Linked DNA regions of Rhinolophus ferrumequinum. The protein of the gene in region 1 binds, or shares a complex with, the protein of each later gene. Links are inferred from orthologs where the notes say so. Each region holds a gene or a part of one and is shown on either strand. Other genes may lie near its edges.

Region 1 (7,488 bases):
GCAGGTCCCTCCTCAAGTCCCAAAGTCTATCTCCAACCTCGCTCATCTTTCCCCCTCGACCTCAGTGGTGACGATGGAGATTGAGTACCACTTTTTTCTTGGAGAAACACAGGGCCAAGCAGTCAAGCAGGCTCAGGCCCTGCCGGGAACCAGGTAATTGTACCCAAAGCACCAAGGGGGGTTGACACCAGGAGAGAGGGCATTCTCAACTACCAGCAGGAGGGTAGGGAGGGCAGTGGTCTCAGGATAGTTAAGTCAATATTGAATTAGGCTGAGAATTCTCTGTGCAAGGCCATCGAGCTGGTATAAGCAGATTCCAGCCAGACAGCCCAAGCCAGCTCTGGGAGCCTCTGCTGAAACAGACAGATGACAAAGCAACCTGTCGGCTCACCTCTGTCTGAACTGTTCCTCCCTACTGCAAGCCCCAAATGCACTTGGACTAGGCCCTCTCTTGTCCCCTGCCAGGTACGGAAAGATTTCTTCCAGACTTCCTCCCCAAATCAAAGAATCTCAATTCGCTGCTTTGGATAGTGTCCAGCAAACATGTTCTCCTGTGGTGTGGACCCAGCTCTGAGAAGGCAGCGGGGGAACTAGGGAAATATGATTTCTCTTTGGGGGTGCTTCCAAGGAGCGAAGCTGCTCCTAAAAAGGGGGGTTCTGAGTAGACTACGCTCTGGCCAACTAGGAAGGGCAAGTGAGATGAGGCAGTGGGATTACTTTCAAACAGGCCCCGAGTCAGATGATGAATGGAACTTCACACGCCCTCTTCGCCAGCGCAGGCCGAGAGACAGACACGGCGTACGAGGGAGCAACTGGTTTCCTAAGTCCCATCTCACTCCAGAGTTCTCTTTTCCAGCCAGCTTCCTCAAAGGGCTTGCCCACAAACATACTTCCACCTATGGAATCTGGAGTTATGGGTCAAGTGCAAGAGGAACGGAACAGCACCTTAAGGCAGTGGGAAGAAAGAAGCAGGCCTGGAGCTTGTCTTTCAAACTGACTTACGCCCATGGCTATAGACTAGAATGACCCAACAGAGGGACCAGAACGAAGGAGAATTCTCAGGATAACTAAACCACCACTAATAAATACTTTTCGTCTGAGAAACCCAGAGTGTGTTGTAAACAAACAAACAGTCTAATTTTACCCCCACCCCACACCCTGCTATTAGCCAATTATTGCACTGATGCCTAGAGAGTGGACCATTTTCCCAAAAAGGTCACTGTAGAGGTCAAGCGTGCAAGTCACACGTTGGACCCAGGAGTCCTGATTCTGAATGTACAAGCTCTTTCCCTTGTTTCCTGATCCTTTTTCCAGTGACCCACCCCCCAACCCCACCCCAGCCCTAAGCTCTCAGGGAATCAACCAAAACCATTCTAGTAAGCTGATTCCTCTTGCATCTGGCCAGAGGTGGGAGGACCCTCTATTCTGTGACCCCTTTAAGACAAGCCTAACATTACATAATCCAAAAGGAAATTTCTCACAACCTCACTTAGTTTCCATGCAGGACATTTCCCCTCCACTAGTGACTGATTCTGAGTAGACAACAAAGTGTAATCTGATCGGGGACTTCTTCAAAACCTGCTCCATCCTTCAGAAACACTCTTCTGTCCAGGAAAGCCTGAATGACACAGCTAGGCTCCCCGTCCTCCCAACACATTTTCTTCTTAGTTCAAGGTTTAGCTGATCCTGAAATGAGTTGTACATGGAGATAAAAGAGTGTGACAGAAAGAATACAGACAGACCACGGGGAAAACAGAACCCAGTGTCCCATGGATCAGCAAAGTTCTCGAAACTCGACGGAGAAAGTGTCAAAGTTGGAAGTGCTGAACGGGAAGGGGTGCTGTTGTATCTTCTCACTTCTATAGGGACAAACCTCCAGAGGTCGGGGGATTAGGGAGGGATAAAGGGAAGCCAAAGCAAGTTCCAGGGGTCATAAAGAACTCCAGAGAAGAGGAGCAAGGATGAAAGTCAAAGTAGAATGCGAAGGATACGTTGGGAATGACGCTGAGATCCTTTAAGGAGAGGGGAATAGGCAATTCTTGGAAGTGAGGAGCTTGGTGGGGGGCGGTGAGGTCATGGAATCCGAAGCAGCAGAGGAAGAGAGGGCCCCAGTCTTTAGCTCAGGGAAATGGGAACTCTGCGCGGAGGCTGCAGAGACACTGGAAGAAAGGGGCAAAATAGGAAAAGGGGTAAAGGCGGAGGTCATGGGAAAGGTTTGGGGCAGGAGCACCGACGACGAGGAAGGACAACCAAGAATGGACATTCTAAGAGGTGTCCTGATGTGCAAAGAGTTCGTGACTTAAGGAAAAATAATTCGGGACGGAGGCAGCAGGGATAAGAGTGAGGGAGGGGGGAATCCCCGGGGCAGAGGGAGGAGCTAAACAGAAGAGGAAGCCAAAAGGCACAGGAGGACCCCAGGCTTGAATGGACACGGTGGAGAAGGACCCGGGGTGCAGCTGCCACCGGGAGGGCAGTTTTGTAGTCGAATCCAGGTGTGGGGGCGGGGGGGAGCCGTGCGGGACACGGTGGGAGAGGGACCCACACGAGGGGGACTCCCGGGGTAGGAGTCGCTTACCTCCGGGGGACCTCCGCGGAGGGGGTGCGGGCGGTCGGGGTCGGGCTGCCGACACCGCCGCCTCAGCAGCAGCGGCCGCTCCCGGGTTCCATTGGCCGCCTGCGCTTCCCTGACAGCGGCCGCGGCGGCTGCACCAGGCCCCGGCTGCGGGGCTGCCCTCGGCAGCGCCTGAAGGGGCCTTCGCGCTGTCTCAAGTTCGACCGGGCCGCACAGCCTTCTCTTCCTCTCTCCGCACAACCACGACCAAAAAAAAAAAAAAAAGAAAGAAAGAAAAATATAAATCCCCAGCAGGGCTCGATTCTTCTGAGTCCAAGCCCTTCTTCTTGGGATATGCTTTCGTGCTCCTCCGACGCTCAGGACCCTGCCGAGCCCATAGTAATCTAAGGAGGCGGGTGAGCTGCCCGGAACATGCCTGTTCAGAAATAGAAAAGGGGGCGGGGAAGATGGTTGGAAACTGGGGAGGGAGTGGCGTACGAGGGGAGGATCCTACGTGTGAGAGGCGGGGCCAATGTTTGGGAGGCGGGCCTAAGAGAGTTTGCGAGGCTAAGGAAGCCGAAAGGGAAGTGAAATTTGCTGGATAAGGGGCTAGGGCTCCCGTCCTCGAACAGAGTGCGGTAGGTGGGCGTGGGTGCCCTGTTAGAAGTACGGATATATAGGGTACTTCTATAAGTACATGCAAATTATATGTAAATAAGTCCGTTTGAGTTACCTACAGAGTTACCGCAATTGCAGTCAGTGGCTTTCCCCCGCACCCCTATTCCACACGACTCCCTTAGTAATTTATCAGGCCGTAGAATGGACGTTGGGGGCCCAGCGGGGAGAGGAGGAAGAGAGAGGGTGGGCGGGGAAGATAGTCACCCTCACTACCCTTTTCCTATTCACTTAAAGGACGATGCCGTGATTACGTCCCTTATCGCTTCGGGAATGGCGCGGTCCAACCACGTCAATCTTTCGCCGTTAGCGGTGCGACTCGAGGCCGCGGTTCTGCCTCAGAGGTCACCACCTGTCTGGGCAGCCTTTGGCCTCCAGCCTTTGGATTTCGATCCCTCCAGGGAGGGGCAGGACCGGGCCAGGTAGGGAGAAGTGAGTGAAATGATAAAAGCCTGGACGGCACAACCCTTCCTTCCAAACGACATCACGTACAATTAAACAAATAAAAACGCACCCTGCAAATGGACCTCTGGTGCTGGTTTGTGTATTTGCCAGTTCGCATTATTGATTGGGAGCTCTGTCAGTCAGAACCTCTGTCCTAATGTAACCTCTGTCCCAACCTTCGCAGGGCTTTATTTAATATTTTACATTGAGGTTAGTTATTTGAGCCCAGATCTTGGATGCCACCTTCCCTGAGGCTGATTTGGGGTGACTGATTTCACTTCTTTGCACCTAAGTTTCTATGTCTGAAAAGTGGGCCCGGGAATCTTAACACTTTACAGGGTTTTGGGAGGATTAAAATACAGATTAGTACTATGTATAGTACTATATTACTATTATTGAGACAATAATATAGATGATGAAAAGAGGGTAACTGCTTCAGTTTCATTGGGAGGCAGAATAAAGGTAATAGTATGAAAATAGCTGTGTAAAACACGTCATATGTGCAAAAGTAAAACAAATAGGGTACCTAATTGCTGAAGGAACATAGAGGAGTATGGTTATTTAATCCAGAAGGCCCAGCCACTCAGTATATGGCGAATGAGTGAATGAAAGGCTTCTCAAAAATATTGTGAGCTAGGTCTTAGGAGATTTATTGGATATGATCCAGCAGAACAAAATAAAAAGAGGAGAGGCTTAAAAACTGTATGCTGAAGAGTAGAAATGGGAATTTGCTCAAATCAAGAGGAGAGGGCAAGCTGATAAGCTAGGTTAAAGCAGGAGTACAGTAATGAAAGATGAGCTGAGAAAGAGGCCAAGAGTGCCAAAGATAGTTTAAATTTGTCACCACCCATCTGGAGTGGGGAGTCACCAGTCCACCTGTCAGGACCAGCAGCTCTTGGCCACCTCCCAATCAGCTGTCAGGCAAGTATCAAGAGGTGATGGCCCTGCTTTAGCCTAGTTTAAAAATGTCACTCATACATCCTCTCCAGGGGTAGGGTTCCAAAGGGCCATAAGACCAGCTTTTTGAAACATTGTAAAAAGGGATGTGACAGCCCTGCTTTTTATAGTAGGAAGTTTATTTTCCAATGACAAAAAAAAGAAAAAACAAAAACATTTCAGGAACATCTCTGGTCAAACTTTAAATAGCAACTTCTTATAGCTATAGGCAGTTATAAGTCCTTTGTTAACAGAGACCCCCCTCCCATACATAGAGTATTAAGTAGAAGAGTTTCTTTCAAGTGTTGTGTTTCTAGCTCTAAGAGTTCATATGTGTGAATTTCTTTGTATGTCTTTATGACTTTTGTCTTTCTGACTTAACTTTTGTGTTTTGGTTACTCTCTGTTTCTACGAGTCTCCCAGGCCCTCTATTCTGATCTCCTCAAGGCAAGAAAGGATTCATCTTTGTATTTTAACTGTACCTTTAGTTTCTGCCACAGGTCAAAGTTTATTTTGTTGATATAGCACCAGGAAAGTACCAACAGGGTCAGGTAATGTCATTTATCTTATTTACATTTCATCAAATTGGAGAAAGAAGTTGGCTTATGCATCAAAAGCTCGTAAAACTAGAGGACCCAAGTCAGAATACGGCTCCAGTTATATTTTAAACATCCCTGTGGTTAAAGAAATTATAAAAAATGATTTTTTTCCCATGGGTTTTTTTTTATTAGAAAAAAAGAAGCTAGCAGTTATTACTCAAGCTCCTACTGTGTATGAATATGAGGTGTGATCAAAAAATACAGTGAGTGTTTATATTTTAAAAAATTTTGATAGTGAAAGATCCATTGCCATTAATGCCCCTCAAAATACTTCTCCTTGCTTCAAACACACACATCCCATCATTCTTGCCACTTTCTGAAGCAATTCTGGAAGTCCTTTTTCATGAGTGTATTGTTGTGCTACCGTGGCTGCCTCGATGTCCTGAATCGATTCAAAACATTTACTTTTCATGGTCATTTTGACTTTGGGGAAGAGCCAGAAGTCACATGGTGCCAGATCTGGTGAATAAGGTGAATGAGGACACACCGCAATGTTTTTATTTGACAGAAATTGCTGTACCAAAGCAATGTGTGACACGGAGCCTTTCCGTTGTGATAACAAAATACGATGAATGCTGCTGCCCAGTGCCATCCAACGGAAAGGCAGGGATCTTCAATACGGGAAGCGGTGTGTGGAACCTTAGTAACAGTGAGTGACAAGTTTCAACTTGTTCGGTGCAGTCAGTCGGGTGTGAGCTACAGTTGAGAGAAGGTGTGTTGTATAGTGTGCCATAAATCATCCTCCATCATGACAATGCTCCGTGTCACACATCACTTCTGGTTTGGCAATTTCTGTCAAAAACATTACGATGTGTCCTCATCCACCTTATTCACCAGATCTGTTACTGTACAACTTCTGGCTCTTCCCCAATGTCAAAATGATTCAGGACATTGAGGCAGCCACGACAGTGCAACTAAAGACACTCACAAAAGAGGACTTCCAGAACTGCTTCAGAAAGTGGCAAGAACAATGCGATAAGTGTGTTCGAGGCGAGGGGGAATGTTTTGAGGAGAATTAATGGCAATGTGTCTTTTACTATAATGAATTTTTTTTAATTTAAACATTCACCAGATTGTTTGATCACACCTTGTACAAACATTACTTCATTTAACCCTGTGAAAGAGATTTTATCACATTTTATGGAAACTGAGCTCAGAATAGTTAAGACATTGTCTTTCAAAATTTTTTTACTTCAACCCATAAGAAATACCTTTTATATCATGACCACTGAAGAACACATAGACATGTCTTCACTGAGATAAGTTTCATGAAACAATACTTACCCTTACTATATGCAAAGCACTGGTATTTTCTATTCCATCTCACTTTTTAAAAATAGTTTTAAAAATAGTTTTCAATAGTTTTCAATAGCTAAATCAGTTTCACAACCTACTAATGGGTTGCAATCTACAGTTTGAAAAAAAACTGGACTAAATAAATGTTCAAAATCATATGGAAAGTGGTCAAGCTAAGACTGACACCAAATTCATGCTCTTTCCAGTAAACAAATGCCTCCTTGTGAACATTTAAGAAATACTGCATTACATGTATATTATACTTAGCTTTATCTCATTGTATGGAGCCAGCAGGAATATCCTAGGCAAAGGAGTAGACCTACTAGGAACTGTAACATGAGATGAAACACTTAGACAAATATATAGTGACATTAATTTGCCCATTTAATGTGAATGTGGCATTTGCTTTGATTTCTAAAGAAAGTTGATTGTTATCCACAAAAATAAGCCATAAATTCATTTATTTGGGACCACAGACTAGACATATAGTTTGTCTTGGTTTAATAGCAAAATATTATTTCAGATTTTAGTAAATTATAAATTATGCTTAACTTCATTTATGATAGGGCTAAAATAAAAGAAGATGACACGGGGTGGGGAGGTAATAGAAGTGGGGAACAGGGTATTGGGGACAGAATAAGGAATGGCAGAGGAGCAGTAGACCGTCTCCAAAATCTTAGTTTAGCCCTTCATCTAATGAGCTAAAGATTGCCTGAATTACAGCATAACTTGTTTCACGTTAGATTTTAAAAATAGAGTAAGTTTTTAAATAGGCTATAACATTCACATAAACGCCATACATTCGCCATAACATTCACGTAAATCTCAAAGTCATCCAGTGCCGTTCTCCCAAAGTGAATGGAAACATCCCCATCACCCCATCACAGTGAGGACAGTACTTCCTTGGGTGCTTCTATCCTATCACCAGTGGTTTATTTTCCCATATGCCCATCACCTCTAATGTGTCAGCTGTCTGGTCTAGTCCCT
Region 2 (7,543 bases), on another chromosome or scaffold:
CCAGGCAGGTAGCACTATAAATAGACAGTTTGGTGTAAACTGATCAATGGCCCATGATAAATAGCAAGGACTATAGGCTGGGGATTTGTTGCAAACTTGAGCGCACATGTCTGTCCTCAAGGAAGCCTCTACATAGCTCTAGCTCACTGTTGTCTAGACCACTGCCAGGCCCAGTGTCACCAAATTTCTTAATTTTTAATGTAAGTCAGAAATCTGGATTTTTTTTTTTTACATTACAATTCCAGATTTTAAAATGCTAGCAACCAATCGAGATTTAAAGCACTGTAAGCCAAGTAAAAGACATTAGTGGGCAGGCTTTATCCTGTGAGCATCCAGTGTGCAAACTTTCTTCTACATTTTATTGGAACTTTGTCTATGAACAGTGGCCAACGTTTATTAATAGTTCACTGTGTGCCAGGCAGTCCTTTTCAAAGTGCTTTACATGTATTTCCACATCCAGTCTTCTCAACAGCCTAAGGGGAGATACTGTATTATCCCCATTTCACAAAGGAGGAAATGGAAGTTAAGTAACCCGCTCAAAGCAAGTGCATTCCAATTCTGGCAGCCGGGCCCTAACACAGTGCTTCTCACATAGTCTCACCTACTGGACCGTGATTCCTGCATTTTAGATACCACAGACACCCACCTTTGGGTTTCCTACAGTGTCTGGCACTCCTTACATTGAGCTGAAATTATACTGCATGTTACAGATGTGAATATACCTTCATTCATTCACTCAGTAAAACATTCAGAGTACGAGGCACTCCTTACGTGTACATTGAGCTGAAATGATACTGCATGTTATAGATGTGAATATACCTTCATTCATTCACTCAGTAAAACCTTCTGAGTGCCTACCATGTTTTCTGTCCTGTGTTAGGGACTGTGGGAGTCCAGGGACATGGCCTTTGCCCTAGGAACACAAAACAATTATCACTACTAGAGTGTACTGCATTACTAAATAAAACTAACTGCAACATTTTACTAAGTATCAATTATTAATTCACCACATAAAGCAGGAAACGTATAATTAAACCCAGTCTCTGGTGATCTAACAGTATTTCACAAAGGTAAAAATGTGTGGAGAGAATGAAGGGAAAGGTTGATTTTAGGGAAGAAACTTCAGAGAGCACTTCAGAAATGGTAACACTTCATCTGACAAATGATTGAATGGAAAGAAACTTAACTGAAATGCATGTGACAAAGATGGTTGGTTGAAAAGTACTCTCTTTTGTATAGGAACAGACTTGGGGAAGATATTTGAAAGGTTTCAGAAAATACTTCTTACTAACTCTGTACTTCCTCACAATAAAAGATAGGAGTATGGAAATACAGGTAGTTTCTCTGAACTGGTTATAGAAGTCAGATTCTATTGTGACAACACATTATAACAAATGTCTATTGAAAGTCTTGGGGCAGAGAGGGATTACAGAAGGGTTGATGGATGTGTTTGCTATCTTGATTGTGGTAATGGTTTTATAGGTATAAGCATATGTCAAAACCTATCAAATTGTAAACTTTGAGTATTTGCAGTTTATTGGATATCAATTGTATCTCAATAAAGTTGTCAAAAATTTCCTAGACTCTTGCTATGCAAAGTGTGTTCTGTAGGGGTGGCCGGTTAGCTCAGTTTGTTCGAGTGGGGTGCTCTTAACAACAAGGTTGCCAGTTTGACCCCCACATGGGCCCTGTTAGCTGCGCCCTCTGCAACTAGATTGAAACAACTACTTGACTTAGAGCTCGTGTCCAGTCCCTAACACAGGACAGAAAACATGGAAAAACACACTTACAAACAAAAATGTGTTCTGTAGACAGCAGCTGCCACCCAGAATGCTTATAAGAAATGCAGACTCTTGGGCCTCTCTCCTGAATCAGAATCTGCAGTTTAGTACGATCGTTAGGTGATTCTCACGCACACCGAAGTTTGGACCTCTTATTTTCACGAATGTCTGGAACTCATTTCCTACAATGAATTGTTAAAGGGAAGTTATATTCACTAATCTTTTTTAGGTCACAAAGAGCAATTAACTACCTACAGGACATTCCTTGATAGTTCTGTTAGGAAGAAGTTTAAATGTTTGATCTAGATGTATAGATTTTTCAAGAATATTCAATGTGTTAAATTCCAAAACAATAAAAAATGTCAGTAATGATAAGTTTATCATATTTTACCTGTCCGTCTTCCCAGGTGTATTCTATAGGTTTTAATATTTATACTGTTTTTAAAAATGTCTTTTTCTGCTGACAAAAGAAACGCTTTCTATAGAAAACTTGAAAAACAGCATCTGTAACAGCATGAAATAGAGTTGTGTTTACCAATCTCATTATCACCTCAAAAGTTATTGAATACTAACGGTAGTACACAGAGCTAGACACAGCAAGGTAAGATATTTATGACTTTCTAGAGGTTAGGCCTTGTAATATGCATATTTTTAAAGTAATTAAAGCTAAAGCTAAGGATCCCCGCTAAGTAGAAAAAAAGAAACCACTTGGCTTGGAGTAATAGAATGAGTTTTGAGTCCCCTTCAACTATAGAAGTCAGTTTACCATAAGTTAATGAAACTTAAGCTTCCAGGTCCCTCACTTACCTAGGCCCTTTCCAAGGCCCTTGAATGAGCACTAGCAATATATTCACCTGGTCAAATGTTTCTGTAAAAGTTTCTAAAGTAAGATGTTTAAGACCATTGTCTCGTGGCATTCTGACTTCCTTCCATCGTTGCTCCTCTGTGTTAGGTGGTGTAGGAATGGCTACGGGCATTTTTAGGATCTGGCTAAGGGGACAATGATTGAATTAGGGATACATTTAATTTGGGTTTAGAGGCATGCATTTATGTGGTTTGCAGTCATTTCCGCATACTGTGAAATTATTGCTCACCATGGGTGTGGGAATGGCTTTCTGGAATACACCTAGTGCCCATTATGCCAACTCAGCCAGTACCATGTCACAAAGGTGAGCGCCAGATGGCAAAGACACTCTGTGATGCCCGGCACAGGAAATATACGAGTGGTGGAGGAGAAACACTATTTGAAAGAAAAGGAGAAATTAGTCCCTAGAAAATCCTTCCAACCATCAGAAGTAAAAACTTGTAAGTGGCGGGAATCAATTACCTCAATGCCTACTCTAAACTGCTTAACCTAAAATGGAGGTTCTCACTCATCAGGAGTCTACCTAGTAATGTCAAACTCGTATCTACAATTATAAATGCCCCATACTTATTTTTGTTTTTATGTGAATCATGCTAAATGAAATATATTAGAATTCCTGAGTTTATGTAGTTGAACCACAGTGAGTATCTATATGTGAAGTCACATTTTTTTTTTTGCATCTTAATGGATCAGATCTCCTCTTAACGTAGCAGATAAATCTTGTCCGGTAAAACACAAGGGAGCCGGAAAAACCATATACAAAATTGCCATTAAAGCAGCAAAACAACCCTGAAATATTATAGCTCACATGTGAGAGAAACTTGATACGGTTTCCCCAAATTTGACAATAAACCTAAAAAAGTGCACGCTAATGTCAGTAATGAGTTGTGAAGCTGAAACTTATAAACCATAATAAAAAACCCTAATTTGTGATCACCACGCTAAAAAAGACTGATCTATCTTAATAGAAAATATTACAAAATAATTGTCATAGGAAAAGGTGATCAAAAGTACGCAACCAAAAACGTGGGGAAAATGATCATAAATGGTGTCCATAAAGTCATCTAGAAACACAGGTGAATATGCTTATCTTTAAAAAAGTAAAATAAATTATGTTTCTGGACTTTCGGATGCCCTGTAGAAGTGTGTCGGGCAGTTAATAAGAATGTTATGGTTATGTGTGTTTGTGGGTTTTATTAACTTTTCAAAATGTCATTTGTGACTTCTTTCACATTCTAAATATTCATTTCCATACCTAACTTTCCGCTCCTAATATTTGGTATTTTTTTCTTAATGAGGGTCCCAGCAGTTGTTTGAGCTTGCATTCCCTCAAAACCTGGATTTGCCGGTTTCCAACCACCTCAGAGAAGCCACTGAATTTCTCTGCAGCCTCAGTTTTTTTCCAAAAAAAAGGTATTTGTCGGGCATTTCCGGAGTTGCTGGGAAGACCATATGAAAACTGGTGGGGTAGAGTTTTGAGAGCCAAACTCTGCAAATGGGAAGGGTCTTTGACCTGGAGGGTAGGGAGCTTGCCTGTAGTCACCAGGCCTGCACAGACCACACGCGCGGCTTCTCCGCCCTCCGAGACAGCAATACCCCCCCACGCCCTCCGAGACAGCAATACCAGCGGGACAGAGCCGAGGGGCGGGGACGGTGCGGACCGGGCAGGGGGCGTAACACACCCTCCCCACCCGAGGGGATGAGGTGGGAACGGAGGCAGGGCGCTCAGGACCCCCGGGAACTGGGGGGAGTGACGGGCGGTTGGACACAGGACACAACTGCTGGTGTTGAAGGGGCGGGGCACTAGGCCTCAACCCCTTTCTAGGAGCCTTGGAGCCTTCTCGGCACCGGAAGTTCCGGTGTCGATCAGTGGAGGTCAGAGGTCAGCAGGAAGTCGATACGTGGCCGCCGCCTGTCCCCGCTGAGGAGGCACAGCAGCCGGAGATGGCGGCGGTGCTGAACGCGGAGCGACTCGAGGTCTCCGTCGACGGCCTCACGCTAAGCCCGGACTCGGAGGAGCGGCCCGGTGCAGAGGGCGCCCCGCTGTTGCCGCCGCCGCTGCCACCGCCCTCTCCTCCCGGGGCCGGCCGGAGCCCGGGCGCCGCCGGCGAGCACCCGGAGCCCGGGGAGGCGACGGCTGGGGGCGCGGCGGAGGAGGCGCGGCGGCTGGAGCAGCACTGGGGCTTCGGCCTGGAGGAGCTGTACGGCCTGGCGCTGCGCTTTTTCAAAGGTGAGCGGGACCGGCTCCGCCCCGCCGCCGCCGCCGGGCCCGGGAGCCCGGCCCGGAATGTGGCCCCTAAGGGGACTGAACCAGTCTCACCTCACCCACCCGTACTGGGCCGCGGCCGCGGGAGCCGGGCTCCGTCCTTGGGGGTCCCCGAAGTTTGTCACTACCTGCTGGGCCACTGGGTCACACCCCTGCGGGGCCGGGAACCTTGGTGTTGCCGTCCGAGTCCCGCCTCCCTGAGGTTACCAGGGCATTTTACCTGATTTAGCTTCTCGGGTTTCCACCGGCCGTGGTGGAAGAATGAGTCCTCTCTTTCTTATCGGATCCCATTCTGGAATTTTTTGACCGTCACATTCCTTTTCATGTTTTCAATAGCTTGGCACATCACGCCCCACCGATTTATAACCTTTTCCCGTAGTGGAAGGAATCTTTTCCTAGGCTCCGTACGTACCCTTTCCAGTCATTCCGGGGAACCATAAACTCGAATAGGACTTGCTCACCTGGCAGTATTGATGTGGCAGAAGGAAGTCAAGTATCAAGCTAACACATCCTCCTCTGGCTTGTCAAACTCTTAAGAGAAGGGATGCCAGCTATGTTCTAGTAACTTCTGGATGGTTAAAATTTTACCTTGTAAGCCATGTGCCAAGAGCGAATTCTCAGAATAAGAGTTAAAAGTACCCTTGTGCTTCTTGCAGAATAAGCTGTTAAAATGTCTCTTGTCTTAGAGCAAGATTGTGGTGTGTGGGATTTTTACTTGGGTGGTTGATTCACTTAGTCAAATGGTGGTGGTAACAGTCACATGATACCAGTCAGTGGGAAAGACTGACCAAAAGTCCGTTAGTTTGATTCTTAGAGATATTTAGTGCTCATGAGCCTGGCAAATGAAACTTTAGAAATGGTTGCGAGGTTCCATATACATTCCAGAACATCATATTTATGACACATCCCAGAGGGAGTACCTTTTGGAGTACATATTTTACTAGATGAATTTGAGTCGTTCTGTGTACCGTGTTTCCCCCAAAATAAGACCTAGCCAGGCAATCAGCTCTAATGTGTCTTTTGGAGCAAAAATTAATATAAGACCCGTCTTATTTTACTGTAAGACCCGGTCTAACACAATATAACATAACATAACACCGGGTCTTATATTAATTTTTGCTCCAGAAGATGCATTAGAGCTGATTGTCTGGCTAGGTCTTATTTTCGGGGAAACAGGGTAGTGATGCATGCAAAAATTATTTGCTGTTTCTCAAAATAACTTTAATTGTGCAGAGTAATGAAAGTCTCTCGTCTACAAAATTTCCAGAACAGTTGATCATTCCACATTCATTATACTTTGTGTTAAAAAGTTTGCTCTTGAAATAATTGTCATTGCACAATGAGTTCAGCCCTCTGTGCACTAGCTAGCTTGGGGAATTGGATATGGCTAATGGGTTTTGGGTCACTTGACCCTTGAATTTAGAGTTTCCTGTGGTGATATTGCTTATATAAAAACGTGGTGGTTTCTGTACAATTCATATAACTACATTTTACCTTAAATTTTTATTCTTAGAACTTATTTTTCCAGGGTTTAGTAAAGTTGGAGTATATTGTAGCAGAATAGTGTGTAAGAATAGAAAAGACCGACTTCTAATCCTGGCGTTTGTCACGTGACTAACAAAAAATAAATGGTAATTTTACCTTCTGAGCCTGTCTTATTTGAAAATAGTAGTATATGTTCTTTGAAAGATTAAAACAGTATGATGTACAGTAAATTTAGTTTTGGGTCAGGAAGCCCTGGATTCTATTGGTAAACTAGACAATGAACTTTCCTCTTCCACATTCGGTCTTCATATGTATACATACATATTAATATATATATATATATGGATTAAATGAGATTTGATGTCTCATATTTAATATTTAGTGGTCTAAACCTAATATTTTGCTGAGTGGTGGGACTCCTAGGGGAATCTGTAGTTTGGGGTCCTAGTCATCAGTCACTTTAGAGGAAAAAACAGCTGCATTGATAGGTATGGTTCAGTCAGTTCCTAAATTAAGCTTTCAAAGCATTATCCACATACTGAAAAGAAGAAATAGCAGTGTAACAATTAAAAGCTACCTTTCTGCATGGATCATTGCAGAGTTAGCAATGAAGAGGCTATTAGTACATGAGATGCCTAATTGGGGCGCGGGGGAAGGAAGGATCTGAAAGCAGTCAGAAGAATTAGGGGAGGTGGGATGAGAAATATGTTGCTGCTTTTGTTTTAATGTGTGAATTTTCCAGTGTAATACTTGGCATTTTTATCAGTCTTGTCAGGACTTCTAATTCTAATAGATCACTATTTTGCAGTTCTGTATTCGTATCTCACAAGAATTAGACTTAACATTACACTTTATTTTCCACTGTGGAATAAATATGAATCTTGAAAGTATGGATATCTTTTTTCCATGGAAAATAACTTGGATGGGAATCAGGAACCCTGTTTTTCATTCTGTCCCTGTCATAGTGGTTACAGGCCAGTGATTGAACCCATCATGTCAACTACCTACCCTCTTTATTTTATGAAAGTAAAATAATAGGTGAAAATACGGACAAATACCAGTTGGCATTTCATCATCTAAACTTTAGACATTGTTGAGTCCTTATGGTGGATAAAATTTTATATTAGATTACCACTATAAATGAAT

What was found. The genes of interacting proteins can lie anywhere in the genome.
Region 2: the proteins of PI4KB (region 1) and ACBD3 are in contact, whole or in part, in an NMR structure (PDB 2N73), measured with the Homo sapiens proteins. The link is inferred for Rhinolophus ferrumequinum from reciprocal best matches to the Homo sapiens genes PI4KB and ACBD3. Residues at the interface, in NP_001317650.1 of Homo sapiens: Val37, Gly38, Val42, Ile43, Asp44, Pro45, Val47, Ala48, Gln49, Lys50, Ala51, Cys52, Glu54, Val55, Leu56, Val59, Lys60, His63; in NP_073572.2 of Homo sapiens: Gln245, Ile246, Ala249, Leu250, Gln253, Thr254, Gln257, Phe258, Tyr261, Gln265, Tyr266, Leu276, Leu280, Gln283, His284, Gln287, Tyr288, Gln291, Leu292, Val295.

Annotation. Positions count from the first base shown.
Region 1 is NC_046305.1:51,330,258-51,337,745, forward strand, and holds the start of PI4KB (phosphatidylinositol 4-kinase beta), read right to left. Parts: upstream 3,016-7,488; 5' UTR 2,576-3,015; intron 1-2,575. UniProt on the Homo sapiens protein: Phosphorylates phosphatidylinositol (PI) in the first committed step in the production of the second messenger inositol-1,4,5,-trisphosphate (PIP). May regulate Golgi disintegration/reorganization during mitosis, possibly via its phosphorylation.
Region 2 is NC_046310.1:14,191,790-14,199,332, reverse strand, and holds the start of ACBD3 (Golgi resident protein GCP60), read left to right. Parts: upstream 1-4,530; 5' UTR 4,531-4,590; coding exon 4,591-4,876; intron 4,877-7,543. UniProt on the Homo sapiens protein: Involved in the maintenance of Golgi structure by interacting with giantin, affecting protein transport between the endoplasmic reticulum and Golgi. Involved in hormone-induced steroid biosynthesis in testicular Leydig cells.